Linked DNA regions of Macaca mulatta. The protein of the gene in region 2 interacts with the protein of the main gene of each other region in a biochemical or structural test. Links are inferred from orthologs where the notes say so. Each region holds a gene or a part of one and is shown on either strand. Other genes may lie near its edges.

Region 1 (10,698 bases), on a different chromosome or scaffold from region 2:
GCATCCCTAATTTGAAATCCAAAATGCTCCAAAATTAGAAACTTTTTGACTACTGACACAATGCTCAAAAGAAATGCTCACTGGAGCATTTGGGATTCAGGATTTTCGGATTAGAAGTGCCCCACTTGTAAGTATAATGCGAATATTCCAAAATCGGAGAAACACTCCTGGTCCCAAGCATTTTGGATGACGGATACTCAACTTGTACACAAATATTCTTAGAGGCACTTCAGATTAGGGAGAGTCTGTATTAGTTTCTTCCTCATCTAGGGCAGTCTTGGGAATTCAAACAAAACCCAGATTTTCCCCCCATCACAAACACACACACTCACCTACCAGTTGACTAGGTTCAAACTCCAGCCATCCTGAGCATCTTCTCCTTTACTTGGGGGTTGGTTTCAGTTGAATTCAAGGTTTGGAGTCTCTGGAATTTATACTCATTTCTTGAATGAGAAGAGTTACCAAAATGAAGCAACTACACCAAGCCTCAGACATTTCACATCATACAATAGTCTCCCGTTTATATGTTTGTCTCTTTCCTTTACTGCTCGACTTTGGCGTGGGTCCTCTTCCTCCATCGGCCATTCTTCCAGTGTCTAGCACAGTCAGGGTCTGCTACTCGCCGAATGGGTGGGTAAACAGCTAAACACAGAAATCCCTGCAATATAAGAATCGTTGCCAACATCTACAATTAAACCAATTTTTAGTTGATAGCAAATAATGTTATGGTACAAAAAAGTGAAACACAACTCCTTTTAAGAAAAAGAAATCCTAAACTCCATAGTATTTCTCTGAAAAATTGCAAGAAAACTTACATGACTCGCCAGAAGGAACAACCCAAGACAGTCTATGAAACAAAACTGGGGTTGTGGTGACTTTGATCTGCATCATTAATTTAATTTCTCAGTTTTACAAGTAAGCAATGAAAATGAACAGGACTGATTGAATTACATGTTACTTAGGGCTTTTGGGAGGTGGTCACAGCTGAATCAATCCATTTACCTTCCATGGGAGGTGTTAATATATATCTTATTGCTTATTTTCTTTTAACCCAACACTTTAAGCTCAGCCAGAGATCCAAGGGACGGTGGAGGTTGCTGGGCAGGAGTGTCAGTAAAGAGGCCAGTGAGATGCTGAAGATGGCTTAAGCTGCCCAGTGCTAGCACTCAGGAATCTGAAAAATTTAAACACTATCACCTGACACCAATCCTTTGTGAGGTCCCAACAGAGCGTTCCTTGTCTTCAGCGAGAGCTGTCTACTTGTTCTGGAACACTTCTGAGCGCTCCCATTCGAGACGATGGAGACGATGAGGAGGTGAGCCCCCACCCTCCCCGTCTCCCATCTAAGATGTCACCACACTTTCCACAGGAAGAAGACATCTGGAGTTGCAAAAGGAGGATGTGCAGTTTCTATCCGCTTACCTAATAGCCCCTCCACCGAGCAGCCACGTTCCTTGGGGTTCTCAGGAACACTCCCCTTCCCACAGACAGAGGCTGTTTCCAGCCTTCACCCACCAGCTACTGTCTCCTTTTTCTTTTTCTTTTTTTTTTTTTTTGAGACGGAGTCTTGCTCTGTAGCCCGGGCTGGAGTGCAGTGGCCGGATCTCAGCTCACTGCAAGCTCCGCCTCCCGGGTTCACGCCATTCTCCTGCCTCAGCCTACGGAGTAGCTGGGACTGCAGGCGCCCGCCACCTCGCCCGGCTAGTTTTTTGTATTTTTAGTAGAGACGGGGTTTCACCGTGTTAGCCAGGATGGTCTCGATCTCCTGACCTCGTGATCCGCCCGTCTCGGCCTCCCAAAGTGCTGGGATTACAGGCTTGAGCCACCGCGCCCGGCCCTGTCTCCTTTTTCAAGTCTGTGGGTGAACTGTGGGGTCCACTCACCTCTGTTTTTCTAAGTCCCTCAAATCCCTTTCCTACCCTGGTATGTCCAGGATTCATCTCCTCAAAATTGTTTCAAGGGCGCGAGTTATAAATAAGATTACGTAGCACATGCTATTTAGAAAGTTTCAGAAAGAGAAGGAAAGAAGGAAGGAAGAAGGAAGGAAGGAGTTGTTACGTAAATGAGAAATACTGAAAGGCTGTTTAACTGATATTGCAGACACTATAGTTCCATAAAAAAGATAAATTATGAAAAACAAGGGTTGTAAACACTTTTATTTTTCCTTAATTGACTCTTGAGCAGACCAGATGACTCAGTACTGGTCTCCAGGGATCAGCCTGTGCTCCAGGGCGTTGTAACACATTTATATTACTTATCCTATTTAACATTTTGAGTCATATCATTTTCACAGAACCTTATTTACTATAAACGTCTCATAAATCTACATAGTATACACATTTCATTTAATATCTAAGTAACATATACTATTGTACACCATTAAATACACCCAGTAAAGACACCCTAGTTTGCTTAATCATTCCTCAAATGTTAAGAGATTTGAGTTACAATTAATGCAACAATCCTCCCTTTACCTCCATGGAGATAATTTTTTTGTTGTTCTCTAACCCATTTATTTGTTTCTTTGTCTGCATATGTGTTTATACTCAAACCGGCAGCTTTGTTTACTCTTCGTCTTTGTATGTTAATGTTCAACAAAAGATTTCCTGAATCAAAAAACATGGTCAGTTTTATGACCATTCCTGGCTTTTGCTGTTGGAGACTTCATAGCAGCAGAGAAGGGGAGGTCTGAATTAGCACATGACCATTTACGCTACAAAATTCTCATAAGAAAAACTTGCATGTTCTATTTCTTAATTTGATAAATTGTCAGTTATGTACCATCGAATTTTTATCCCTGCTGAAGCTATACCCGAACTCCATATTTGCAGGGAATTCCAGAGGAGTCAGGATGGGCCCTCAGTGCAGTAATCATAGAGTGTAACAATAGAGAACATGGCACTTTTTTAAAAAGTCGAGGGCTACCTCTGACCTGTCACTCCTGAAATATGTCTCCTAGCAGTCATCTTCCTGCCTTCCTGGGCTAGAGCTTTATAGGTTACCTTAGAGTGATCATGGGGACCTGGTTTTCATGAGGCCATGTTTAAGTTCAGGGGTGACCTGGCTGGGGAGAGGGTATAAACCCACGAACACAGGCCAGTTGACAGACTAGGATTGCCACTTTGTAAAGAAGAGCCCAAGGCCTGATCAGAATGAGACACAAATGAGGTCATTTTTAATAGAGCTAGGGGTGGGGAGAAGGACAAATGGACTGGGGCAATTCTCAGGGAGGGAAGGGCTGGATAGGGGACTATTTTGGGAGAGCCTAGAAACCACACAAGCGTCCCAGGCACCCGGGCTAGCGGACAGGAGAGCGGAATGAGAGCAGTCATGAAAAAGGGTAAGGGAACACAAGAGAAATTCGGTTTGCTTATTTTTGTCTGGGCACAGTTTTGCCCTTAGCAACCTAAGGCAATTTCACAAAACTCCACTCAGTGCACAGGATGTAGAACACGGCGGAGGCTTCCACTGTGGTTTGACTGGCTTTTGGGAATCGCGCTGGAAAGCCAAAAGGACACGTTTCAGTGTGGACATCCAAGTCTTAGTGGGTGTCCTGAGGGCAGGCGAAGGCCTTGGGGGAGGTGTCTTTGCAACTGCGTAGCGGTGGTTTTCTGATTAGCAAATCTGAGGGCAGGGAGATACTGTGATCAGGACTGTTTGATTCTGGGCAAGCCTCTTTTCACCCTGCCCACACAGAAGACTCTGCTTTGGATACAAAGTCAAGGACAGATACTGACACAATGGACCTGTAACTTGTGCATGGCTGCCTTTTGAACAATTTAGTCCATTTGAGGAACCTCCACAAGCCTGCACTTCCAGGGCAAAGTTCCTGCTCTTCTGGGGAATTTAATTGTGAATTGTCTGTTTTGGGGCCCATTTTGACTCCAGTATTCCAGGACTTACCTCTTTGGAGGCCTTGATTTGGAATTTCCCATTGGATGGGGTTACTTGGGTATGGGGTAGCTTCAACCTGGCTTCTGTAAGAACAAAGCCAGATGATCACGGTGGGTGGTCTGCTAGGAGAATGGAAATGCCATTGATTAAAATTGAAAGGTTTGGAGAGAGGCCTGAGAGTTTGGGATAGGAGATGAAGTTTTAAAAATATCAGTTTTTTAAAAAAACACTTCCCATCTGAAATGCCAGTGAATTGTCCAGATAGATTACACTGAAAAGGCTGACATTTCTGTAGCAGCCACGAATGAAGTCATCTGAGTGGATGAGGTGCTCTAGGCCATACATGGAGAAGAAAGAGAACACAATTACCCAGGCCTCCCGTGACTGCGTGCGGCCACAGCCTCTGCTCATTTCCTAGTTAGGAAGGATGCGGGGGTCTGCTGGGATCTCCACGTTTCTACCTGTACTTCTGAGGACTGGGTTTCTGCCCACACCAGTTGCAGGATTTGCTCTACTGAGAAAGAGCTTTGCTCCAGAATGCAAGTTTCCTGTTTCAGACACGGACAGCCAGTTTTGCTTCTAGAATCATTTTCAGCTACATACAGAAAAATGAACTTGGCTGAGCTGAAGAGCCACGCGTATGTTAAACGGCAGCTCGGGTATTAGGAACGCCGCGAAGGCAGGCCGAAAAGTCAACCCCCTTCTCCTCACCCCTGTCCTCACAGCGGCCCCTTCAGTGGCCTGACTTTTTCTGCCCGGGACCCAGAATGTCGCTTGAGGATGGGACTAACCCGCAGACCTGCAAGCGCTGCCACGCAAACGGCCTCGGCCAGAGCAGCCGCTTCTCAGCTCAGAATGGCATCTCCAGGGACCCTCTGGCAGTGGGGCCAGGTCTCCACCGGGCCGGTCCCGTCCTTCCTACCCGGGCCCTGCGGCCAGGCGGGGCCGGGAGCGGCGGATGCGGGAGGGCGCCGGGGGAGCCCGGCTCGCGCGGGGCTGGTCCGAGGGCGGAGGCAACCCGCCGGCGACGCCGCAGGTCCCGGGTGGCTGACGCCGTCCGGGGGCGTTCCTGGGAGCTGGGGGCCGGCGAGGCTGGACCCGACGCGCCCGGGAGGAGCCGGCCGGCGGCCACGTGACCCAGCGCGGCGGGGCCGGCGGCCCAGAAATAGCAGCGGCGGCGGTTCCGCCCGCGGGCGGCGCGAGCGAGGAGCCGAGGCGGGAGAAGCCGGCAGGGCGCGGGCGCGGCGGCCCCGGAGGATGCTGCTGAGCCCCGGCCCTGCCCGGCCGCGAGCACATGATGGCTATACGGGAGCTCAAAGTGTGCCTTCTCGGGGTGAGTCCTGGCCGCCCCCCGCCGCGGACCCCGGCCGGCGCCCCCGCGCCCCTTCGCTCCCCTGGTCCCCGCGCGCTCAGACCCCGCCATCCCCTCGCTCTCCGCTCTCCTCTCGCAGCTTCCGTCCCCCTCGTCCGCGCGCCCGCTGGTTCCCCGGGTCCCCCTCGCTCCCCCAGTCCGTGCGCCCCTCGCTCTCCGCACCCCCTCTTGTTCCCCGCCGCCCCCTCGTCCGTGCGCCCCTCCGGTCCGCCCCCGTCTCACCCTGCCGGGGTCCGGGGCCGAGCCTGCCCCGGGCTTTTTCTGCTCTTTCCTCCCGGCCCGCGAGTCCCCGGATCCGCGGCGGCCTCGCGGGGACCCCCGGCGGGGACGGGGCAGTGGCTGCGAGTCTGGGGCCCCGAGGGCTTTCTCCTCCGCCTTTGATAGTTTCCTTCCGGCAGAAAGTTTAAGTTGCTCAGCCAAGTCGCTGAGGACTCTTTTGCCTCCTGGGGCAATTGATTGTTCACTTAAAACACAAAAATAAAACCAAACGCGAGCCCAGCCAAGGGGGTGAAAGCCGAGGGCGCGGCCGGGGTGGAAGGTGAGGCGGTGACCTGTGCGGAGCGCGCCCTGCAAACTTCCCTGCTGCGGATGAAAGCAGCAGGCTGGGAAAGTCCTCCCCACCACCACTTCTCCTAAAGTGGGGCTTTCTCAGCCCGAAGAAGCCTTAAAGCCGCCAGAAACAAAGAGGCAGTCAATCCTTGCGGTCAGGGGACTGCAGACCGGAGACCCGGCCAGGACGCAGGGAGCCGCTGGCGAACCGCCCCTGAGAATTCAGATAAACGTAGGGTCGCTTCCTTTCGGGGGCCCACATCGCATTCCAGAATTCCTTCTTCTAAAAGAAGAGCTGGTTCTAAGGGCGTTTTCAGCAGCCTTTGGCATCTGGTGTACCCGCCCATGTCACTGGCAAAGCTGGTCTCATGAAAACCATTTCCTAAAAAAGAGCAGCGAAAGAGTCGCATTCTTGTGCGAACTGGTCTGTCAAGATGGGGATACAAGAACTGTAGAAAGAGGAAATGATTTCGGTGAGGACTGAACTGTGCCAGCGTCTCTAGGCTTCCTCTAGGCTCTTCTGGAACCTCTGGCAGAACCTTGTTCTGTCCACCGGCTCCCATCACTGGCCTCTGCCAAAACCATCCCTTACCTTAACTCGATTGTCTGGTTGGCCTAGAATTCCAGAGGATCTGGGAAGGCCCTGCCCTCCCTGGTAGGCCCTGGCACAGATCCCCACCTCCCCCGACTTGGTCAGCCACATCCAGGATCTAGCCTGGTCCTTTCCCTGTTGACCTTTTTGTGTGTCTGGAGTGGGTTTTCCTGTTCCCCAGGCCCTCTAATATTTCCAGACGTGAATTCCAGGAATCCCGTGCGTCCCTCTTGAGGGGCCATTTCAGCCTCAGGAAAGGCCTTCAGAGACTTAGAAGGAATGTCGTGTTCCAAGGAATGAAGGGGCAGCCTTGATGTGCGCTGTGTTTGTCAGGATTGGCTTTGGGAAAAATGAAATAAGACATGTTTTTGCCTTTTTTTTCTTAAACTCTTTCTCTTCACTTTTACTGAGGTGGTCCAAGCCCTGCCCTATCACAGGACCCCTTATTTTCAATTTCGGCATTTAGGGACAGGTCTCTATATCCTCCTACCAGGACACTGATCAGGTGGCAAGAACCCTGTGTCAGGAGGCAGGAAACCCAGGCTCTCATTCTTTCCCACCAACGAGCTGTGTCGCTTTAGCAAAGCAACTCAGCGGCCTCATCTATGAAATGGGCATAATAACATGTTCCCCCTTAAGGCAGAGGACTATACCAGATGATCTCCTAAGATACATGCTACCATTTCAGGGTGGCAATTAGCAAACCTGGGAGAGGAGGAAGGTGGAGGAAATCTCTTTACTTCTTTTATCTCCAAGAATGATACACACTCTTTGAGTGGCTTCCTGCAGACAGTGCCTTACCTTTGCCAGTTGTGTGTGTAGGAAATTGAACTTGGAGTTGGAAGAACCATGCCAAAGCAGAGAAAGAATAGGTTTCTGGGCAGACGGAGGCTTTGAAACATCAATCGTGGCTGGTCGCAGTGGCTCACACCTGTAATCCCAGCACTTTGGGAGGCTGAGGTGGGGGGATCATTTGAGGTCAGGAGTTCAAGACCAGCCTGGCCAACATGATGAAACCTGTCTCTACTAAAAATACAAAAAATAACCGAGTGGTAGTGGTTTGTGCTTGTAATCCCAGCTACTTGGGAGGCTGAGCTAGGAGAATCGCTTGAGCCTGGAGGTGGAGGTTGCAGTGAGCTGAAATCGTGCCACTGCACTCCAGTCTGGGCGACAGAGTGAGACCCTATCTGAAAAAAAAAAAAAAAAAAAAAGAAACATCAATCATATCACACCACATCTGTGGCTTCCTTTTTTTTTGAGGGTGGCTGTAAGTTTCAGTTTTATTGAAATCAGAGAACATTTTATTTGAAAAGCCAAATGATCTTATTGTCCACACTGAGTAAGATTTGCCACATCCCCTGGTTTGGCTGGCTCTTTCCCCGGTGAGATGTGTGCAGCAGGCTGTGTTTCTAGCTGCTCATCCAATTAGGCTGGTTCTCTGGGTGGGATAACATTTGAGGTAGATCAAAGCCATTTAACTGTCTTCGGTTTACTCTCTTCTCTCTCTCTCTCTTTTTTTATTTGTTTTGAGACAAGGTCACGTTCTGTCACTCAGGCTGGAGTACAGTGGTGCCATCATAGCTCACTGCACCCTCCAACTCCTGGGCTCAGTGGATCCTTCTGCATCGGCTTAGGTTTATTCTCTTGATTCCAGAGACCCTGTGGATCAGTTAGTGCTAAGTCCAAAAGTCCTTAAAAAAATATGTATATTTTTGAGATAGAGTCTCACTCTGTTGCCCAGGCCGGAGTGCAATGGTGCCATCATGGCTCACTGCAGCCTCAACCTCCCAAGCTCAGGTGATCCTCCCACCTCAGCCTCCCAAGTAGCTGGGACCATAGGTGTGCACCACCCACCCAGCTAATACTTTTTATTATTTTTGTAGAGATGGGGTCTCCCTGTGTTGCGCAGGCTCTTTCAACATTTTAACAGGAATTGGGCTCGTTTGTTCTTTGCATAGGGAGGTCTGTCTTTTCTGGGTGAAGTTTTATGTGTTGCCGGCACTCAGCTTCCTGTTTTTTAGCCATGAGACACCTCCCTGAAGTCTTGGTATGACCAAGACCCCGACAGCCACACCTTCTTTCTCCCTGTTAGAATCACTGTCTGTTGGGTTTCCCTTAGAAGGTGACAGAGAACATAGACTTCGTAACAAAATCTCACTGTCACTGGGAAGGCTGAGGGGTTGGTCTTTTTGTGCCTGGTCCTGTGCTCAGTGAGGACGTGGGGACATGCTTCCCATATAAGGTATAGGTTGTTTTAGGCATGGGCAGTGGGAACTTTCAGCAGAGGCTCCCTACTGGTCACTGTTTGCTGTAGTTTCCTGCTCCATCCATGGGGTCGGAGGTCTTACCTCCTGACATTAGAGTCATTTGCAGCAGGTGGGAGTGAAAGTGGGCCGGTGCCAGGTCTTCTTCACCTGAACTTCATCTGTTTTCCTGGCATGCTAGGAATGTTCGAGCTTATTTCTTTTGGTGAATGCTCCCACATGGGATGGACAATGGCCTGTGGAACATTCTCTGAATGCTTTGTGTTCTTGGAAGACCAAGGACTGGAGAGCACTGGGTTTGTTTAGGTTACCTCTTATAAATTCTTGGCTCGCATCTCATGTGTGGACTTTCTCGGGTTCATTCCACATGGGGACAGCCCAGCAAGCCTTTGTGAATGCCCTTTCCTGGCCTGAGCCCAGTCACCTGTGGAAGTCAGCCTTGCAGGAGGGTGTGCTTGATGGGGGAAGCACCCTGGGCAGGACCCTATAAGCTTCCTTCTTACCAGGAAAGTGTCATTCATCCCACTTTGTGATCTGAACCGGTGTTATGAAACATGAAGCTTAAAGGCAACACCCTTTAAAACAGCAAAGTATGTTAACAACAACAACAAAAAAAACCTAACAAAAACAACACTGAGGCAGCAGCTGCTTCAACCCCAAAGGTGGAAAGTTTCCCAGTATGCATTTTTAACACACATCACCACGTGGCAAGAAGCAGGAGGAAGGCAGAGAGTGGGGAGGAGGAGAAAGAGAAGGAGGGGACCTTTGTTTTGTTATTTCCTTGGGGTATTTGTGCGCGTGCACTTAAAAACTGCTTCCTGATGGAATCCCAAAGAGATTTATATTTGGACTTTGGTTGTCTTGACAACAATTTAGAAATTTCTACCACTTCCTCAATAGCTGAGTGATCAGTTAAAAGAGCCGATGGCTTCCCTGCTTCTGGTAAGGAGCTTGTTGAAGCATCTCCTTGTGATCTTGGAATCTATATGGTGGCTCATCAAAGAGCAGTCAAATACCTGGGATTTGGTGAGACATCTGGGTAATGGGGACTTTATCTATGTCCAAGGCCTTCACATGGGCCTCTTGTCTCCCCAGGGACAGTAGGATGCAAAAGAAGAACAGATTTATATTCATGGTAAGGCAGATCATCAGAACTGCGCAACCTCACATGAGTTGCTTTGAGCGCTATATGAGAGAGTATCCAATAAGGTGATAAGAATTTGTTAGTGTTACTGTGGAAGGAAGGAATGCATAGGATAGTGGGTTGGGCTGGGTAATGATCACATTTGTTTTCCGAGTCTGAGATTCTAGTAACTTACTATTTTTTTTTCCCCCAGAGACTGGCATTTCTTGGGGAGGTGGGATGGTGAGGAGGGTGGAGTGGCTAGCCACAGCATTTATTTCTTGGCACAACTGATTCCTCTATTAAATTGAAGCATTTGTGGAAAGTATGTTCAGCATTGGTGACTCTGGGTAGCTTCTATGTTACATGAGAATAAATATGATATAGTGGGGTATCTTCCCAGCAGTGCCTGGTGTATGGTAACACTGTATCTAATGCACTTATCCCAGGCTGATGGAATCCATCAGGGTCCCTTTGTTCCTCCTTTGTTCAGGGTCAACATTGCTGCTTTCATCCTCCCTCAGCTTTCAGAGCTCAGTGCGTCTCTGGAGTGTGTATCAGAATCATCTGAGGAGCATTTTCAAGCTTCTCATGGTCCTTTTCCCCATCCCTTGTGTCTTAATTTGAGCTGCTGTCACAAAAATACCATAGGCTGGAGGGCTTAAACAATAGACATTTAATTCTCACGGTTCTGGAGGTTGGGAAGTCTAAGACCAAGGTGCTGGCCGATCTAGTGTCTGGTGAGGGCTCGATTTCTGGTTTGCAGACAGCTGCCTTCTTGCTGTAACTTCACATGACTGAGAGAGTGCTCGGTCTCCTTCTCTTCTCATAAGGACACCAACCCCATTCATGAAGGCTCTACCCTCACAACCTAAGCACCTCCCAAATCCTAATATCCTCACTT
Region 2 (9,972 bases):
CGCTGCTAACTTATACCAAATTCTTCACACTTGCTTTACGATTGCCATTTCTTCCTTGACCTTTACAATAAAGCTCCTAGAGTTATCTATATTCACTCTATCAAACTTTTTTCTTTCCATTCTCTCTTGAACCCTCCCCAATCAGGTTTTTGTCTCACTTCTTTATGCAAATCACCCTAATCAAGGTCATCGATGACCTCCATATTGCCAAATCCAGTGGGATTCTCCATCTTCATTTTGTCTGGTCTCCATCCTTCTAAATACTCAGGATAAAATCCTTGGAGTCATCCTTAAGTTCTCTCTGAATACTCTACAATAAATCAGTCAGCTTTACCTTTAAAGCAAAACTAGAATCTGACTTCTCACTACCACTCTAATCCAAGCTACATCATTTCTTACCTGGATTATTGTAGTAGCCTTTTAGCTAATTTCTATGCTTCTACTTATGTACCTGTACAGTCTACTCTCAATACATCAGCCAGAATAATTCTGTGAAATCATAAGTCAAATCGTATCACTGCTTTGCTCAGAACCCTCCAATGGTTTCTTATCTTAACTCAAAGTAAAATAAAGTCCTTAAAATTACCTATGAGGCACTAGAGGTTCTGATATCCTGTGAGCTCTATGACCTGCCCTTTTTAACTCTTCTAACACTCTCCCACTCCAGCCCTGACTTCCCGTTATTCTTGAGACATGCTCCTGCCTCTGCACCATTTAACGTACTAATGTTCTTCTCTCTGAATCACAGGCTTCTCCTTCCTTAAGGTCTTTCATCTTTTCAAAGAGGCCTAACACCGCAGTCCCAACTTTGGTCACCCCAAAACACTTCCAACTCCCCATCCCTCCTTCCTTCATCTTTATAGCACTTATCACCATTTAACATGCTATATATTTTGCCTATTTACCTTGGTTATCGTTGCCTCTCTCACTAAGCTCCATGAGAGCAGACATTTTTGTCTGTTTTGTTCACTGCTAAGTTCACAAAATCAGTTCCTTGGCTGAGAGTAGAGGTTAATAAATGTTTTTTGACTAACTAAATAAAAGAACAAATAAATGAATCCAGTATTTTGATCTCTATTCATCTGACTCCCAGGCCACTCTCCAAGCTCAGAAGAAAAGGGCATATTATTTATTGCCTCCCTCAAACTACAATATTGTTTCTACATACATGTCATTAGATTGCCATCTCCTAGAGGGCAAGCACTCTGTCTATTCACAGTGCTGAGCACAGTGAAACGCCGGGCACGGTGGATCACGTCTGTAATCCCAGCACTTTGGGAGGCAGAGGCGGGCGGATCACGAGGTCAGGAGATCGAGACCATCCTGGTGAAACCCCGTCTCCACTAAAAACACAAAAAATTAGCAGGGTGCAGTGGCGGGCGCCTGCAGTCCCAGCTACTCGGGAGGCTGAGGCAGGAGAACGGTGTGAACCTGGGTGGCGGAGCTTGCAGTGAGCAGAGATAGCGCCACTGCACTCCAGCTCCAGCCTGGGCGAAACAGTGAGACTTGGCCTCAAAAAAAAAAAAAAAATAATAATAATAATTAAAACATATCAAAGTCAAATTAATTTCAATATTTGGACAATCTCCCCTTACCATAACAAAATGAAAACTTCTTTCAGTATTCTAAGCTACGCTGCAGACTTTGTATAAATTTAACCCAAACAATTATATTTTCTACACCTACAATTCCAATGTTCAGATGATGGTTATAAAGCAGGAAAAGAAATGACCAACAAATACTAAATTCTACTGAAGGAAATACAAAATATTCTTCCTTACTGGGCTAACGATGCCAGAAAATTTTATTCGAACATTTTTGATTTTCCAAATATTGTATTTTAATCAATAAGAAACAATAATGAATAAATTATTTATAAGTAATTTAAATAAATTTATTTAACTAAACACATTTAATAGATAAATCTAATAAATTTAATTAAATTAATATATAAAATGTAATAAATACATAATAAATCTGTTTATAATTAATATTTTACACTAAGTTGGAAAAACGTTTCAACATAGTAATCAAAAGAAAAAGAATTTTCTGATTATCCAGACTTCAAAATTATCAAAATCCCTCACAATCAAGTATTTTGTATTTTCTAGTTTTACCACAACAAAAGGATAATGATTTGGATTAATTAATTTTATTTTTTCTCTTATATTCTATGTAATGGTAATTAATTTTTGTTTACAAGGCTAATAACGCAACTAATGTTTACCTGAGCTTCTCGAAGTTTTGCCGTGGTGCTTTGCTGAAGAGCCTGTTGTTCTTGATGCTGTTGCTTTGTTTTATCTAATTGATGCTGCAATTCTGTAGAATTTGTAACTTTTTCCTTCAACTTAAAAAAACGCAGATTGTCAATTGAGAACTTAAAGGCATAATGCTATCATTCATAAGTATCTGGCATTACTTCAATTCTGAAGTCTGAACAGAACAATAAATTCAGGTAATATATAAGATAAACTTTAACAGTGGCACCTTGGCTGGGCACAGTGGCTTACACCTGTAATCCCAACACTTTGGGAGGACAAGGCGGGTAGATTACAAGGTCAGGAGTTCAAAACCAGCCTGGCCAATATGGTGAAACCCCATCTCTACTAAAAAAAGAAAAAAAAACTACAAAAATTAGCCAGGTGTGGTGGCAGGCACCTGTAGTCCCAGCTACTCGGGAGGCTGAGGCAGGAGAATCACTTGAACCCGAGAGGCAGAGGTCACAGTGAGCCGAGATTGCACCACTGCACTCCAGCCTGGACGACAAAAAAAAAAAAAAAAAAGCAGTACCTCATTACTTATAGAATCTTAATCTCATGTTAAAGAAACTATTTTCTATAAATAGGCTTATCCTAAAAGAACTTTCTCCAGGCTGGCATTTAGTTTATTAATTTTTTTGTAAACTAGTATGATCAAGGAATTACATATAAATTTGTAACAATAATTTAAACCACATATCAGTATTTCTTTTATTTTTTTTCTTAATAGTTGTAATTATCACTTATTGGAAAAGAATACGATCATTTACCACATCTAAGATTTTAGGTCTAGAAGAAAATCTATTGCTGAAGCTGCAGATTTTATTGTAGAATATGTGTTTAATTCCGGCCAGGCATGGTGGCTCACACCCGTAATCTCAGCACCTTGGGAGGCTGAGGCAGGCAAATCACTTGAGGTCAGGAGTTCAAGACCAGCCTGGTCAACATGGTAAAACTCCATCTCTACCAAAAAATACAAATATTAGCCAGGCGTAGTGGCGCACATCTGTAGTCCCTACTGGGGAGACTGAGGCGGGATAATTGCTTGAACCCAAGAGGCGGATGTTGCAGTGAGCCGAGATTGTGCCACTACACTCCAGCCAGGGTGACAGAGTGAGACCCTGTCTCAAAAACAAATAAAATTAAATTAAAAATTAAAAACTTAAAACTAAAAAATAATGTGTTTAATTGCAATAAAGATGTAATTTAGTAACTTTTACTTTATATTACAGGCATCATTTATAGCAACTGCAAGTCTAATGAGGGACAGCATTCAAATACATGCTTAATTTTTAAAAGCAAAAATCCTTAAGTGGAAACTCAAAGTTTATATATACCAACTACATGTCATTAATGAATTTACCAACAATTCATAGTTTACTGTTTCATTAGGAAGTAGTCCTTCCTGAGTAGGAAGACTCTAGCAGCCTGATGGGTTCGCCCCCAGTATTTTTCCTGCCTAAAGCTGAAAGAGTAAGTTTTCTTTGTGCATTTTTGTTGAGAACTTTAGGAAATACAATTACAACAAAATGACTTAATGTAGTTAATAAGCAGGATGTTGCTACTGGAGAGTAATAAATTTGCACTTTACTTAAAGTCCAATTAAAGCTCTGACAATTAACAGATTGATGAATCATAATCATGTTAAAGATACCTCAAGCCTATCAATAAATGCTAGCTTACCTGCTCTTCTAACCGAGAAAGTTTGAGTTGTAAATCAGCCACTTGTTGTTCTTTATCCATCAACTTTTCACTTGAAAGCTGTCTTTGTTCCTTTAGCCTACCATGAGCTTCCCCTAGTTGGCGCTCTGTCTCCAGAAGTTTGCTATGTAACTTTAAAAAAAGAAAAAAAATGTATGTACATATGTATAAACACACACACACGACCACCTACTTTCCAAACAATGTTTTACCTTTCACCAAAATAAGTACAATATCTTAATTTTCATGATACTTTGGGGAAACCTAAGATTTTATATAGTAATTTTAACTGCAACTGAATTTTAATCATATATTATAATGAATCACATACAATTATGGTTAAACATCACAATTTTTGTTTTTGTGTTATGTTACTGCTCTCTTAAAACAAATGCAGGCTCTTGTTCGGAGATAAGTGTTGGAATTTTCAGAAACTTAAAAGAATAAAATACAACTTAAAAATTAAGACACTTAGTACACACTCAGATCTATTCTACAGTATTGTTTAAAATTCCACAGTGATTCTTGTTGGTTTTCCATAGCCAAGAACTACTAGAGTTAACGTTTTATATTTGGGTATTGGATACTGCCCAGTGCATTCCCAAGTCCTCATATTGGCACATAATTTCTAAATAAAATAGAGGAAATGATCATATATATATATAGTGACCTTCATTCATTAACTTTACAAATGCCACCCAATTAAAACTAAGGCAGTTAAGAACCATCATGAGTAGTCCACCCCAGTTATACATACTCTATCCTAACAGGAAATCAGTGTCCCTTCCTGCCTCTTACAACACTTTCCTGCCACTAGTTTGCTCTCACTAATCCCTCTGGCTGGAAGACACATCTGCTTTCAAACTGCCACCTGTCAAAACCTATCTGATATTCCCAATTCCAAGTACCACCTCTCCCTAATACAAAGATTTCCTGATCACATAATTGGATAAAAAATTACAACAGCTGAAGTACTACAGGGGGGAACAGAAGAAAGAAACTCTTCCAATTTCCCATAATATATGGAATCCTTTTATTATAATTCTCATAATCTTTAGTATGATCTATAGTACTTGCCTTATCCTCCCCTAAGATTTACATAATTATTAAAAGTAGGTACTGTTTCTTATTCATTTCTGTATCCCCTAGTAAATGAGGCATGTGTCTTTTAGAAAGCATAAATGCTGCCAGGCACAGTGGCTTATGCCTGTAATCCCAGCTACTCAGGAGGCTGAGGCAGGAGAATGGCTTGAATCCGGGAAGCGGAGGTTGCAGTGAGCTGAAATCTTGCCACTGCACTCCAGCAGAGACAAAGCGAGATTCCATCTCAAAAAAGAAAAAGAAAAAGGAAAAAAGAAAGCAAAAATGCTAAATTTGTTTATCTGAACTAAAACTCAAATATGTAAGTTAGTTTAAGTTATTCATTGATATCGCCATGGCTCAGTTTCCTTCCATTATGAATGCTTACATTTATTCATTCATTCACTCACTAAAACATAAGCAGATTAACAATCAAAATGCTGAGTGGACACGGTGGCACACAATTGTAATCCTAGCACTTTGGGAGGCTGAGGAAGGTGGATTGCCTGAGCTCAGGAGTTCGAGACCAGCCTGGGCAATGTGGTGAAACCCCGTATCTACTAAAACACAAAAAATCAGTTGGGTGTGGTAGCATATGCCTGAAGTCCCAGCTACTCAGGAGGCTGAGGCATGAGAACTGCTTGGACCCGGAAGATGGAGGCTGTAATGAGCCGAGATCATGCCACTGCACTCCAGCTTGGGTGACAAAGTGAAACTCTGTCTTCAAAAAAAAACAAACAAAACAACAACAACAAAAAAAAACCAAGTAAAATGCCAGGTAGTAAAAATAAAAAATGAATAAGACATGGTCTTTGCACCCAAAGAGTTCAGAGTCTAGTAAAGAAAGACATAAATTATGATAAACTATATTATGGTATAAGTAAAATATTAAAGATATGTACATGCTTAAGCTATCTTGAGTGTGGGGAAGCAGTGGCATGTTTAGAAAGGATTTCTAGGGAGAGTGCTGGGAGGGGGGCGAGTGAGGGTTGAAAAATTACCTGTTGGGTACAATGGTTACTATATGGGCAATGGGTACACTAACAGTCCAGACTTCACCATTACATAATATATACATGCAAGAAATCTGCACTTGTACCCTCTAAATGTATTTCTTAAATTTTTTCAAATCTTTAACTTCTATTTTAGGTTCAGGGGTACATGTGCAGGTTTGTTATATAGGTAAATTACATGTCACAGAGGTTTGGTGTACAGGTTATTTCATTACCTAGGTAATAAACACAGTACCCAATAGGTAGTTTTTCGGTCCTCACCCTCCTCCCACCTTCCACCCTCAAGCAGGCCTGGCCATCTGTTGTTCCCTTCTTTGTGTCCATATGTACTTAATATTTAGCTTCCACTTTTAAGAGAGAACATGTGGTATTTGATTTTCTGTTCCTATATTAGTTCACTTAGGACAATGGCCTCCAACTCCATCCATGTTGCTATAAAGAACATGATCTTGTTCTTTAAAAAAAAATTATAAAAAGTGACAAGTGAAGTAAATAGTATCTATCAAGGTGAAGAAGAATGAAAAGAATATTTCAGGTCAAGAAGGCAGACTGAATGATACAACAAAAGCAAGACACAGCACAACATATAGGAAAAAACTAAAGACACTTCCGTATTCTTGCAGTGAAGAATAAGGAAAAGAAGGGTAAATTGCTGAGGAGGAAGGCCAACAAGACCAGTATGGATACTGCATGTTACAACAAGAGACCTCAACTTAATCCATTAGGTCATAAAGAGTTATTAATGGGCTTAAAGCATGGTTGGAACATGGTAAGATTTGCCTTTAATATAGATTACTCTGATGCCTATATAAAGGATCAGTTTGTCAGGGGCAAGTAGGAAGGCAGATTAGTTTGCAGTTGTTAGAGTGGTTTAAGAGTGAAACAAGGAGGACAGGGCTAGCAGAAACAGGGAAGGAGAACACATGTTACAGAAATATTTTTAACTCTTCTGATTCACTGTATCATGGAACTCACAGTCCAAACTCAAAAATTAGTATTAGCATATGTGAAGTGCTTACTCTAATTTCTGAAATATAACTGAAGCTCATTAAATTACTAACATAATCATTATTATTATTATTACTAAAGGATAGAAAGCCATGAAAATTATTAATTATAGTAAAATAAAGTATCACTGCCATTTTAGAAAAACAGCTGAACATTATCAAAAAAGTAGCTGAAGACTTGAATATCCCCCAATTTCCATTTTCAACCAATTTTCAATGTTACCTAACGCAATAATTAGAACACAGGCAAAAAATTAAGTTAATGGCAAAGTCAAAACTTGTATTAAACTTCATCTGATAGCCACTATATTATTAACCTATACAAAATACTTTGTGCCTTTAAGCTAGACTAACCTATACAAAATACTTTTGTATAGGTAAATAATATAGTTCAAAATATAAGCCATATAGGTAAATAATATATGAATTATATATATCAATATATGACATGAATATCATATGATATATTGTATATATATACACTATATAAATATATATTTATATTCATAAATATATAATATATATTATATTCATAAATATACAATATATATTATATATTCTATATATATGTAATTCATGTATTATTTACCTATAGAAAATAGCTGCAGCATTAGGGCTGATTTACTTTCTATGAAATATCTAATTTTTATTTATTTTCAAAAAAAATTTTCCCTAAAACACATGATTTTAAAAAAATAATCTGTATGCTGCTTGTTTTATAATAATGATGCTTTTAAAATTTTGTAACAAAAAAATTTCAAATGAAAGAATGGTCAACAATTTAAATTAATTATAATAGCTAAAACCTTGTGAGTACCTACATGCCCCAGGTACCATCCTAAGCAATTTATAATATCAATTCATAAACAATTCCCCACAAAGCTGTAAAATAGATATTATAATTTTTTTTCTTAAGGGAAACGGAAATTAAAAGAAATGAGATCTGACAACACTACAGGATATAAAAGTTAAGAGTTAATCTTTTAAAATGACAATATTTTTTCAACATGAACTATATTATGATCAAATAACCATCAAGAACATGAAGAAGAAACCAGAGGGAGAATTACAATAAATAAAATTAACAGCTCTTACTTGATTAATTTCACTTTGGAGTTGTAACCCATGCTGCTCTTTTTCTTCTCTCTGTTGTTGTAGCTGCTTAAACTCCGCCTTTAGATGCTGGTACTTGGTCTCTACCTCAGATAATTCTTCTTTGAGCTTTTGAGTAGCTTCTCCTTTTTCACTTAGTTCTGCATGTATTCTATGCAGTGAGGTTTCAGATACAGACAATCTTGACTGAAGCTGCTGACAATCTAGGTCTTTTTGATGAAGGGTTGCCTGAATATTCTTTTTACTCACAGATTCTTCATTATGTTTCTCCTCTAACTTAGTATAGTCTTGTTCTTTTTTCAGCAAGTTCTCTGTCAACGTCTAAAATATCAATTTAACAATTTATTTCCTTTTCTAATATTTTAAATTACTCCAATTATTCGAACAATCTTTGGAGCAGTACTGTCTCCTAGTATACATTTTAGTCAATATTAAAATATAAAACAGTGACAATGTTCTAGTCAAGAATTAAATCATTACATACTAATTCGTGATTTCAGTATTGGTCCACTTGACTAAACTCTACTAATACAACTTAAGAATTTCCAAGCAAGTGTTGACATAAAATAAAAATAATAAAATCTACTGGATTTTTAAGGGTATGTGACATATTTATATTCTTCCATTTGAGTTAAAAATTGAAACTACCTTTCTACCAACAAATTATTTTGAGTAACAATATACTATGCAAAATTTGATTTTTCACTGTGCAGTTTCATAGTTGGTAAGAGCTTTAGCGCAGCAGTATCATCCACTGTTATAATGCACCTAACCTATTGATTGCATCGTTTTATGCTCTTCTTGTTAAAGACCAAGTTTTAGAGTCACAAGCTAAGACTAATTCAAATTTTTTTCTAGGTGTATTAAAAAATGATCTAAAGCTATCACACACCTGCCTTAAATTTTGTCATTTTACTCAATGCTATCAAGTATAAAACATAAAAATAACACTTCTAATCAAAGACCTGGAACAACCAACCTAATCTAATGTCAAAGCCTAGTCTCAGTGGGGTTGTAAAAATTAACACTAAACTTTAAAGTAAACATATTTAAGCATAAAATATGGATCAGAATTTTAACTAAATTCTGTAAGACATCCAGCCAGGATAAGAAGCTATTGTAAGTACCTGGTGAGTCAGTTAGTGGACCTTTAGTGTACAAACTAATATGCAGTGTGCTGGAAGGGGATGATACTGAAATAGGAGAGACCAATCAAAGCCTTCATACCTTAAACAGAATATACTCTAAATGAAATCACACAACAAAACAACAACAACAACAAAAAAAACCTTTCTAAGAAAGTTAAAACATAATGCACGAGTCAGAATTGACTAATAGAAAAGTATGTCAAATTTCTTAAGGCACAGTTTTTTTAAAAAATGAGCAAAGTCAAGGGGAGCTAACTAGTAAGATCATCTAAATACCATGAAGTTTGAGCCTGGTTTCAAAAGCGATGGGAAAAATCATGTAATACATACACATGATACATGCCATCTGCTCTATATAAATGTATAAGACACGAAGGAAAAGGCAAACAAGTTTCAGGTGGGGTGACAGCAAAACCCTATTATCTGACAGGGGATAATAGATAATAGATCTTTATTGTTGCATTCCCCAACATGGGAAACGCAGGAATAAAGGTTCTCGAACATTTGTCTAAGAAAAAATAAGCTAATGTTAATTATCAAACAGGAATATACTACGGAAAAGCAGTGTCCGGAAAGATGATAAAAGTATATATAACAGAGGCCAGGTGCAGCAGCTCACAGCTGTAATCCCAGCACTCTGTAAGGCTGAGAC
Region 3 (10,708 bases), on a different chromosome or scaffold from region 2:
TCAGGGAGGACCTGGGCCCCTTGGCTTCCTGCCTTGGGGTCAGCAGCCACCAGCTGGCCTGGTTGGCTCTGGATTTCTGGACTTTTTAACCAAGCGTGGTTACCTCCGACGCTATTCCCTTTTCCAAGCCTTCCCCAACTTCCCCCTCTGTGAGGGGAGCCACCTGAGGGCTGTGGAACCCAGCAGGCATGAGATGAACCGCAGTGCCCATTGGGCTGGGCAGATGAGATCCTACTTTCTCCCCAGGACCTGGAGGCAGGTAGAGATGGGGGAGCAGAGGGGATGGGCAAGGGACCCAGCTCCAGCCTAGGACATGAAGGCAAGACCAGGCAGGATCTTAGCGTCTATAGCAAGAGACAGGTTGCAGGATTTTGCCTGAAGATAGCTTAGTGATATTGTGAGGTCTTCTGTCTCAGCCCCTGGGTCTCTGCTGAAGACCTTAAGAGCAATGTTACCTAGAGAGGGGTAGGTTTGAGATGCTGCTTGGAATTTGAGCAACCCACAATTTCTTAGGCCGCCCACCATGAGCCCAGGCTGGAGAGGCTCACCTCATCCCACAGCCCACACAGGAAACAAACGGATAGCTCCAGATATGTGCTCTTTGGCTCTCACAGCATTATTTTCAAAATATGAGCTAGTTCCAATATTAAAAATGAGATAGGGCCGGGTGCGGTGGCTCACGCCTATAATCCTAGCACTTTGGGTGGCTGAGGTGGGCGGATCACCTGAGGTCGGGAGTTCAAGACCAGCCTGACCAACATGCAGAAACCCCATCTCTACTAAAAATACAAAATTAGCTGGGCGTGGTAGTGCACGCCTGTAATCCCAGCTACTCGGGAGGCTGAGGCAGGAGAATCACTTGAACCCAGGAGGCGGAGGTTGCAGTGAGCCAAGATTGTACCACTGCACTCCAGCCTGGGCGACACAGCGAGACTCTGTCTCAAAAAAAAAAAGAAAGAGGTTATACAGGACTACAGATATTCCAGTTTCTCTTAAAAAAAGTAGCACTGGGCACAGTGGCTCATGCCTGTAATCCCTGTCCTTTGGGAGGCCGAGGTGGGAGGATCGCCTGAGCCCATGAGTTTGAGATCTGCCTTAGCAACATAATGAGACCCGATCTCTATAAAGAGATATATATATATATATGTTTGTTTTTTTTTTTTTCAGACGGAGTCTCGCTCTGTCGCCCAGGCTGGAGTGCAGTGGCACAATCTCAGCTTACTTCAAGCTCCGCCTCCCGGGTTCATGCCATTCTCCTTCCTCAGCCTCCCAAGTAGCTGGGACTACAGGCGCCCGCCACCACACCCGGCTAATTTTTTGTATTTTTAGTAGAGACGGGGTTTCACTGTGTTAACCAGGATGGTCTCGACCTCCTGACCTCATGATCCGCCCACCTCAGCCTCCCAAAGTGCTGGGATTACAAGTGTGAGCCACCATGCCCAGCCTAAAAAAGTATTTTTAAAATTAGCCAGGTGTAGGCTCAGCGTGGTGGCTCATGCCTGTAATCCCCGCACTTTTGGGAGGCCAAGGCGGGCAGATCACCTGAGGTCGGGAGTTTGAGACCAGCCTGGCCAACATGCAGAAACCCCGTCTCTACTAAAAATACAAAAATTAGCTGGGCATGGTGGTGCATGTCTGTAATCCCAGCTACTCGGGAGGCTGAGACAGGAGAATCCCTTGAACCCAGGAGGCGGAGGTTGCAGTGAGCCGAGATCGTGCCATTGCACTCAAGTCTGGGCAACAAGAGTGAAACTCCGCCTCAAAAATAAATAAATAAATAAATAAAAGCCAGGTGTAGTGGTGAGTGCCTGTGGTTCCAGCTACTCCAGAAGCTGAGGTGGGGGGATGACTTGAACCCACGAGTTCAAGACCAGCGTGGGGAACATAGCAAGACACCCCCCCCGCCCATCTCTATAAAAATAAAAAGATTAGCCAGGTGTAGTGGTGTGTGCCTATGATCCCAGCTACTCTGGAGGCTGAGGTGGGAGGATCACCTGAGCCCAGGAGGTTGAAGCTGCAGTGAGCAGTGATCACACCACTGCACTCCAGCCTGGGTGACAGAGTGAGACCCTGTCTCAAACAAACAAACAAAAAAACCTCAGGACATCTGGCTACCATGGGCCAACATTCCATCTGGCAATAATTGGCAATCAGCTGGGGCTGGGTGGCCACTGTCCTCTTTACATGGGATCTGCTCTGCACTCTGCTTCGCTGTCACACGTTTCTTGATCATCTCCCGACACCCGGCTAGCTTCCCTTGTTTGAAATTTTTGTCTGGTCTCTGTGGGTATTTGAGTTCCCAAAACTTGAGTGTCCATCAGAACTACCTGAGATCCTATTAAAATGCAGATTCTGCCAGGCGCGGAGGCTCAAAAAAATAAAAAAATAAAAAGCAGATTGCTGGGCCTCACCCAATTTGGAATGTCAGGGGTGGAGCCCAAGGGTTGAGTGTGCAACCCGTGCCTTACCTAACAGTGTGTTCCCAGGTCCCTGTGCCCAACAGGTGCTTTTTGGGCCCAGTAATGTCTGCTTCTACTCCTAGGCGTGGGTCTGTCACCATCTGTGTTTCTGTCTCTCCGCAGGCTGTCTCTCAAGGTGGTCTCTTGTGCTGCTAGCAACTCAAAAATCCCAACAGCACTCCCTATCCTTCCCCTGACCCCAGACCGCTGCCAAGCCTGTTCTCCCCCATTACAACATGGTCTCACTCAGGGCCTGGACTGCTCCAAAACTCACCCAGGTCTCCAGCTCTCCTCTACCACCCACCACCCTGGGCTCACTTTTGGATAGGAAATAAACTCTTTATTTTTGTAGTTGTTGGCTCTGGGTGTTTCTGGGGGTTAGTCTGAGAGCCCCAGGGCTTTGGAGGAGCCAACACAGCAATCATTCCCCACCCTCACCCCCGCTGCACCCCAGAGCCCTGTTGCTATCTTTAGGAAGGGCAGAGGCACCAGCCAATCTACTTGGCACCACATTCACACCACCAGGGGCCCCAGGGATGAGGGAAAAACTTAATTAGTCACTATGGGCCTATTATACCCGCTTCTCTCCCCTGCACACCAGTCACAGCCATATACACACACAGTATGTGGAAAGGATAGAGTCCTGACTTTGGCCCACCTCCAGCCTTGGAAAGGTGGGCCCAGGGGACTACCCATCCCTCCCATATAAGGAACTGTTCAAGAGCTGGGTATGGCAAGGGGGCTGGGGGAAGAGCTTGTCACCAGCCAGAACCTGCTAGGAATCCCTCTCTGCCCCATCCCCTCTGTCCTCCCAACAAGCCCTCTCTTCCCTCTTCCTTTTCACTTCTCATGATCACTGGCGTGGAAGGGGGTCTTGTGTGTTACGGACGTAAGAAAGAGACGCCCTGGTGACTAGATGGAACTAGATGTGGGCACAGTTTTGTGGCAGGTTGTCCAAGGCAGGTAAATTCTCCAGCTGAGGCTCCAAGATATGTCTGGTGTTGGCCAGTGTTAGAGGCACAGTGGCCACAGCTGTCCCCGGTGAGCTTTGATTCCACACAGGTTTTCAGTAGTGTCCCTGGAGGGTGAGATGCAAAAGAAGAGGAGGTACTGGTCTGTGTTGAGAGGTAAGGGTGGGAGGAATCAGGAGCGGGCCCCATCCATATTGAGACGAGTAGAAGAAACAAATATTCCTGATCCACATGGGGGGGTGCAGAGTGGGGGTGGTTCTAGTCTTTATTTGCGGATGGAGAGGGCCCAGGCAGAGATTGTCCAGCTCTGTATTCCGTGTCAGAGAGAAGAGCTGACCCTGGCTGGGAGCAGGGGAAGGCAGAGGCAGAGATGGTCTTTGTGCCGGCCCCCTGCACCAAGTAGGAGGTGGTGGCAGAAGCTCTCCGTTTGATCTCACCCAGCATCCTGTAGAGAACCCTTCCTACAGCGCTTTCATCGCCTTCCCCATCACAGACGCCCCCAGCAATCGGGCTTCCCAAGCTGACTTGGCCGGAAAGTGCAGACAGGGGCTTCTCCAGATCGGCAAGTTCGAAGGACTGAGGCCTCGCATGCATATTCATTCGCACCATGTTTCTTCTTTCCCAATTCTGCACACATAGTCCTCTGCCTTCTTCCAACGCTCCACCACCCGCCTTCCCTCGGGGCGTCCGGAACCGGCGGTGACCGGGTGGCAGGCTTGGCCTCAAAAAGTTCCCGGCCATAGGCTGGGCGCAGTGGCTCAGGCCTGTAATCTCAGCACTTTGAGAGGCCGAAGAGGGCGGATCACCTGAGGTCAGGAGTTCGAGACTAGCCTGGCCAACATGGTGAAACCCCGTCTCTACTAAAAATACAAAAATTAGCCGGGCGTGGTGGTGCGTGCCTGTAATCCCAGCTACTCGGGAGGCTGAGGCAGGAGAATTGCTTGAACCCGGGAGTCGGAGGTTGCAGTGAGCCGAGATCGCGCCACTGCAATCCAGCCTGGGCGACAGAGTGAGACTCCGTCTCAAAAAAAATAAAAAGTTCCCGGCCGGGCTCGGCCTTGTAGTCAGCCGGCTCCAGCCTAAGCCCAAGTCCCAGGCAGCCACGGACTCCTCCCATCGCCACGAACTACAAGTCCCGCCATCCCTCGCGCGCGCCCTCCCGCCACTCCCGCGTTCCTACCGGCGCCGCTGGGTAGGTCGGCCAAGAGTGCCTCCCATTGGTTTCTCCGCCCTGTCAATCACCAGGGAGTATTGAGGGGCGGGGCGGAGGTAGAGATCCGGATCCGGAGCGGCTGAAAGACGGAAGTGGAGGCCGGAGCCTGGGACACCGCCGGGGGGGGAGAGAAGCAGAGCCCGTCCGAGCCCCGGCCCCAAGTAACGCCGCCGCCCCGGAGCCGCCGTGAGTATTCCTGTCCCAGGACCTGGTGTCTCGCCTGCGTTGAAGCATCTCCAGGGCAGCCCTTCCTCCCGCCCAGCCCCAGTTTAGGGGGATACTGACCCCTCCCCCGACCCGTAGCCCCCTCTTGAGGGGTTCCCCAGGCGTCGGGCCGCAGGAGATGGGGAGCTTCTTTCCTTAGCTTACCTACCTTTCGTGAGCCTTAAGGAAATCGCTATGACTGTCCTCTGGCCTGTCCATTCCAGTTGTGGGAGAGAGGTGCCTAAGTTCCGCTCCCCCTGCTCCCAGAATCGGAGGATCTTTGCCAGGTGTGAAGGAACCTGTCCCTCTTCTCTTTTAGAAGTGACGGAGAGTGCTGTCTGTCGCCGTTTTCCTTCCTGCTGTCCCACAAAACCAGTTGTCCCCTCCAGCCCTAGAGGAATATCTCGATTTCCTTTGGGGGAGGGGGTCGTCTGGGTGAGACCGTTCCACACGCACAGAAGTGTGTTGGCGCTCCCGCAACTCCTTACTTCCTCTCTTTCCTCAAGCCAGAGAACCATCCAGGACCTCAGCAGAGTTTAAAGTTTGGGTCACTTACTGGCAATGAGCTGTTTTCTTGCTTTGCCCCTTCTGTCTCCCAGCCCCTGTTCTCTAGTTATGTTGTTCTCTGAGTGTCTCTCTCTTCCTGACTCTGAAGAATTTAGCTGAGGTTTGCTCAATTCCAGCTATAAATCACAGATCAGGGTGGATGTGCCCATTCATTATCTTCTTTCCCCTCCCCCCTTGCTCCAGGCTCAGCTCTGTCCTCCCACAGCACGTGAGTGGTTTCCAAGCCGCCTCAAAGGGACTGCTGCTTTTGGGACTGCTGTCCGTGTGTCTATAGGGAGGAGAATGAGACCCAAAATGAGGAGTCTGGAATTGAAGGGCTATCTCTTTCTCACTCCCAAACACACACACACACCCCACGCTGAGCAACAGGTCCATGGCACGCCAGGGTCTGTCTCCAGTCCCTTCTGGGCTTGGACTTATTACTGAGGACTAAGTCAAGATCACAATGGCAGTTCAGGATTTTTAACTGTAGCCCAAGGAATTCCCATACATGCCAGAAAGTGCAGGTTCCCTCAAGCATATTGACTATGATCCTTGTCTGTTGCTTGGGGCTTTGGTGTGTGAAATAGCTGCTGTCTCAGACCAAGCTTTGTTATGTGGCCAAAGTACAGGCCGGAGACTGTGCCTTAATGAGGAGTAGCCTGGCTCTGAGGCCATGACCGATCCTTGCTATCTACAGTGAAGGAAGGGACAGAAAACCATGCAGTTTGTGGGAACTTCTGTAGCACTTCAGTGTTCTGGGCTACCTTTACCACCCTTGCGTGCCACTTAAAAGTGCTGTCTTTTGACCTTGAGGTGTGTTTGAGTGCTTCTGGACAGCGGCTAGTGTCTGATTCCTACATTCTTTTGAGTAGACCTAGGATGTACTTATTTCACTTTTTTGTTTGTTTATTTTCTTTTTTTTTTTTTTTTTTTTTTTTTTTGAGACGGAGTCTCGCTCTGTCACCCAGGCTGGAGTGCGGTGGCCGGATCTCAGCTCACTGCAAGCTCCGCCTCCCGGGTTCACGCCATTCTCCTGCCTCAGCCTCCCGAGTAGCTGGGACTACAGGCGCCCGCCACCTCGCCCGGCTAGTTTTTTGTATTTTTTAGTAGAGACGGGGTTTCACCGTGTTAGCCAGGATGGTCTCGATCTCCTGACCTCGTGATCCGCCTGTCTCGGCCTCCCAAAGTGCTGGGATTACAGGCGTGAGCCACCGCGCCCGGCCTGTTTGTTTATTTTCGAGATGGAGTCTTGCTCTATCCTCCAGGCTAGAGGAGTGCAGTGGCGTGATCCCGGCTCACTGCAACCTCTGCCTCCTGGGTTCAAGTGATTCTCCTGCCTCAGCCTCCCAAGTGTCTGGGATTAACAGGCATCCACCACCACGCCCTACTAATTTTTGTATTTTTAGTAGAGAAGGCGTGTCACCATGTTGGCCAGGCTGGTCTTGAACTCCTGACTTCAGGTGATCCACCCGCCTCAGCCCCCCAAAGTGCTGGGATTACAGGTGTGAGTCACTGTGTGCGGCCTACTTACTTCACTTTTTATTGGACAACAGAAGAAGCCTTCGTTATTAGGGTCAACAGCTGGATCACAAGCTCTGTATCTGTGTGGGTTCCTTTGGGGCTCATTGGAGACTTCTTCAGCCAATCTAGTTTCTCTGATCTGGTCAGCCTGGGTATCTGAGCGGCAGGGCCAGAGAGGCCTGACTGCTCACTGGCCATTGGTCTCTGACCAGACTTAGGTCTTCAGGAGTAGAACGTAGTTTGTCACTCTTCATGAGTGCTGGGATGAGGCCGACCAGGCTTCTGAGGAGATCTTCTTTCCTTTATCTGGACATGGTCTCCCAGCTCTGACTCTGAAATGAATTTTTTTTTTTTTTTTAGACAGAGCTTTGTTTGTCGCCCAGGCTGGAGTGCAGTGGCGCAGTCTTGGCTCACTGCAGCCTCCGCCTCCTGAGATCAAGGGATTCTCCTGCCTCAGCCTCCTAAGTAGCTGGGATTATAGGCATGTGCCACCATGCCCAGCTAATTTTTGTATTTTTAGTAGCAGCAGAGTTTCACCATGTTGGTCAGGCTGGTCTGGAACTCCTGACCTCAGGTGATCCACCCACCTCAGCCTCCCAAAGTGCTAGGATTACAGGTGTGAGCCACCACACCCGACCTGAAATGACTTTTGAAGGGGAAGCTCTGCCATTTAGAGAGACGAGGAAGGCCTCAGTGCTTTGGGTAGTTATGCAGCCACTTCTGGCATCCAGAAATTATAGAGTCCAAGGAGAGGTCTCACTCTGCCTAGCAGAAAGAGCGATGGCTCCATGTGCGCCAGAAACCCTTCCTTTCTGATGCTGTTCCTCTCCTGCCCTCTTGCCTCTCACAATTAGTGGACTGTTAAACTGTAGAGGGGCCGTAACACTAAGTTTTTAAAAATCATTTTAAAGTTGCAAAGTTATTTTCATACATATTCCTCATAGGTGCCCTGGGAAATACTGGGATTTGTTTCCCCACTTTGTTTTTAATTTTTATTATTACTTTTTTTTTTTTTGAGTAAGATAAGGCAAATATGTGTCCCTGCTTTAGAGGGGATGCAGAAGGAACTTAAGTAGTTTGCCTGAGATCATACATTTAGAAAGTGGTAGAGCTAGGGCTTGGATTTGGGGTCAGATGTGGCCTGATCTTCTAACAGTGGGCCCTTCTTCCGCCTGGTTTGTTTGTTAAATGAATGAACATGCAGGGTGAGCGCGCCGTGGCACAAGGGCAGACTCTTAACCCTTTAGCCCTCCTCATCACTGGCGCTCCTCTGTTTTCGTTTTCTTCACCAACCTCTACCCAACCTCCTGTCTTCTCTCTTGACCCCCTTCTCCTCTGCCTGTGAGGACCAAGACAGTTAGAAGTCCCAAGTCAGTACTCTTCAGGGCCTGAGAGTTTGCTGACATCTACGTGTCATTAATTTTTTGGGGAACCTGAAAGTCTTAATGGCTAGAAAATGAAAGTCAAAGCGAGTGAACTCAGGGGTCCCACTGGGCAGGGTTAAGGGGGAAGCAGCAGAGCGGGCCTCTGGTTAGTCCTCTGTTTCCCCTGTGCTGCTGCCTGCTGCTTACAAGTGGGAAGAATGCAGCTTGCCACCAGGAGCTCCTGTCACTAGAATTTACATGGAAACAGAGCAAGATCACACATTTAAATTCAGCCCCACCAAGCAAGTACTTCTCAGACCTTCTACTTTTTTTTTTTTTTTTGAGGCGGAATCTCGCTCTGTCGCCAGGCTGGAGTGCAGTGGCGCAATCTTGGCTCACTGCAAGCTCCGCCTCCCAGGTTCATGCCGTTCTCCTGCCTCAGCCTCCCCAGTAGCTGGGACTACAGGTGTCCGCCACCATTCTCGGCTAATTTTTTTGTATTTTTAGTAGAGATGGAGTTTCACCATGTTAGCCAGGATGGTCTCGATCTCCTGACCTTGTGATCCGCCCGCCTCGGCCTCCCAAAGTGCTGGGATTACAGGTGTGAGCCACTGCACCCAGCCAGACCTTCTGCTTCTAGCCCTTGCCCAGTAAACAGGCCGTGTGGTCAGGTGGAAGGCACCAGAACTTCAGAGGCAATTGGACCTGAGTTCTAATCCTGATTTCCCCACTTACCAGTTGTGTGACCTTGGGCTTGTTACTTGACCTCACTGAGCCTATGTTTCTTCTGGTAAAATGGCAACGCTAAATACCTTGCAGAATTAGAAACAAAGAAAGGAGCTAGTCGAGTGCTGGCACAGACTAGATCCCCACAAAACAGCAGTTGCCTCTGATTGGTAGGTAAGGGTTTGAAGGTTCTTTTTTTTTTTTTTTTTTTTTTTTGAGACAGTCTCATTCTGTCGCCCAGGCTCACTGCAACCTCTGCCTCCTAGGTTCGAGTGATTCTCCTGCCTCAGCCTCCTGAGTAGCTGGGATTATAGGCACCCGCCATCATGCCTGGCTGATTTTTTTTTGTATTTTTGTAGAGACGGGGTTTGACCACGTCGACTAGGCTGGTCTCAAACTCCTGACCTCAGGTGAGGTGATCTGCCTGCCTCATTGGCCTCCCAAAGTGCTGGGATTAGAAGCATGAGCCACCGTGCCTGGCCAATTTTTTTTTTTTTTTTTTTTGAGACGGAGTTTCACTCTTGTCTCCCAGGCTGGAGTGCAATGGTGCAATCTTGGCTCACTGCAACCTCTACCTCCTGGGCTCCAGCTATTCTCCTGCCTCAGCCTCCTGAGTAGCTGGGATTACAGGCGTGTGCCACCATGCCAGGCTAATTTTGGTATTTTTAGTAGAGACAGGGTTTCTCCATGTTGGCCAGGCTGGTCTTGAATTCCTGACCTCAGGTAATTGTGCCTAGCCCTCAACACTGATTCTGATTCAACATGTGTACCAAATGTATGCTGAGGCAGGACACAGCAACTCATGCCTGTAATCCCAGCAGTTCGGGAGGATCACTTGATCCCAGGAGTTCAAGACCAGCCTGGAGGCCAGGGGTGGTGGATCACGCCTATAATCCTAGCACTTTGGAAGACTGAGGCAGGCAAATCACCTGAAGTCAGGAGTTCGAGACCAACCTGGCCAACATGGTGAAACCCCATTTCTACTAAAAATACCAAAATTAGTCAGGCGTGGTGGCACATGCCTGTAATCCCAGCTACTCAGGAGGCTGAGGCAGGAACCTGGGAGGCACTTGAACATGGGAAGCGGATGTTGCAGTGAGCTGAGACTGCAGCACTGCACTCCAGCCTAGGCAACAGACCAAGACTCTACCTCAAAAAAAAAAGAAAGAAAGAAAGGAAAAAGACCAGCCTGGGCAGCATAATGAGACCCCATCTCTAAAACGAAAACAAAATGTTTGCTGGGATGCCTTGTACGTTGCTTGATGGTTTCACAAATTGTCTCATTTCGTAGACATTGAACAGAATTGATGTGAGTTGTATTCCAATTTTACAGAAGAGAATGCTGTGCCACTTCAGTCTTACTCAGTTATAAGTGTTTTAATATTAAAACAGTCCTGGAACTATTATAGATTGGAATGCAAAGTTTGCATGAATTGAAGCTAACACAGGAAACTTTCATTAATTAATTAATTAATTTATTTATTTATTTTTGAGACAGGACCTCTCTCACCCAGGCTGGAATGCAGTGGTATGATCACGGCTTACTTCGGCCTTGACCTCCTGGTGCCAAGTGATCCTCCCACCTCAGCCTCCTGAGTAGCTGGGACTATAGGCATGTACCACCATGCCCGGCTAGTTTTTGTATTTTTTTTTTTTTTCTTTTTTTTTGAGACGGAGTCTCACGCTGTTGCCCAGGCTGGA

The links.
Region 1: the proteins of EEA1 (region 2) and RAB31 form a complex in vitro, tested with the Homo sapiens proteins (2 studies listed by BioGRID). The link is inferred for Macaca mulatta from reciprocal best matches to the Homo sapiens genes EEA1 and RAB31.
Region 3: the proteins of EEA1 (region 2) and RAB5C form a complex in vitro, tested with the Homo sapiens proteins (2 studies listed by BioGRID and IntAct, with this or other methods). The link is inferred for Macaca mulatta from reciprocal best matches to the Homo sapiens genes EEA1 and RAB5C.

What each region holds. Positions count from the first base shown.
Region 1 is NC_133423.1:80,671,304-80,682,001, forward strand, and holds the start of RAB31 (ras-related protein Rab-31), read left to right. Parts: upstream 1-5,188; coding exon 5,189-5,227; coding exon of another isoform or gene 5,228-5,317; exon of another isoform or gene 5,318-8,117; intron 8,118-10,698. Other genes in the region: uncharacterized protein LOC114675567, read right to left, coding at 4,745-5,317. UniProt on the Homo sapiens protein: The small GTPases Rab are key regulators of intracellular membrane trafficking, from the formation of transport vesicles to their fusion with membranes.
Region 2 is NC_133416.1:100,134,371-100,144,342, forward strand, and holds part of EEA1 (early endosome antigen 1), read right to left. Parts: intron 8,494-9,972; coding exon 8,155-8,493; intron 4,092-8,154; coding exon 3,942-4,091; intron 2,348-3,941; coding exon 2,228-2,347; intron 1-2,227. UniProt on the Homo sapiens protein: Binds phospholipid vesicles containing phosphatidylinositol 3-phosphate and participates in endosomal trafficking.
Region 3 is NC_133421.1:66,489,711-66,500,418, reverse strand, and holds the start of RAB5C (ras-related protein Rab-5C), read left to right. Parts: upstream 1-4,712; 5' UTR 4,713-4,829; intron 4,830-10,708. UniProt on the Homo sapiens protein: The small GTPases Rab are key regulators of intracellular membrane trafficking, from the formation of transport vesicles to their fusion with membranes.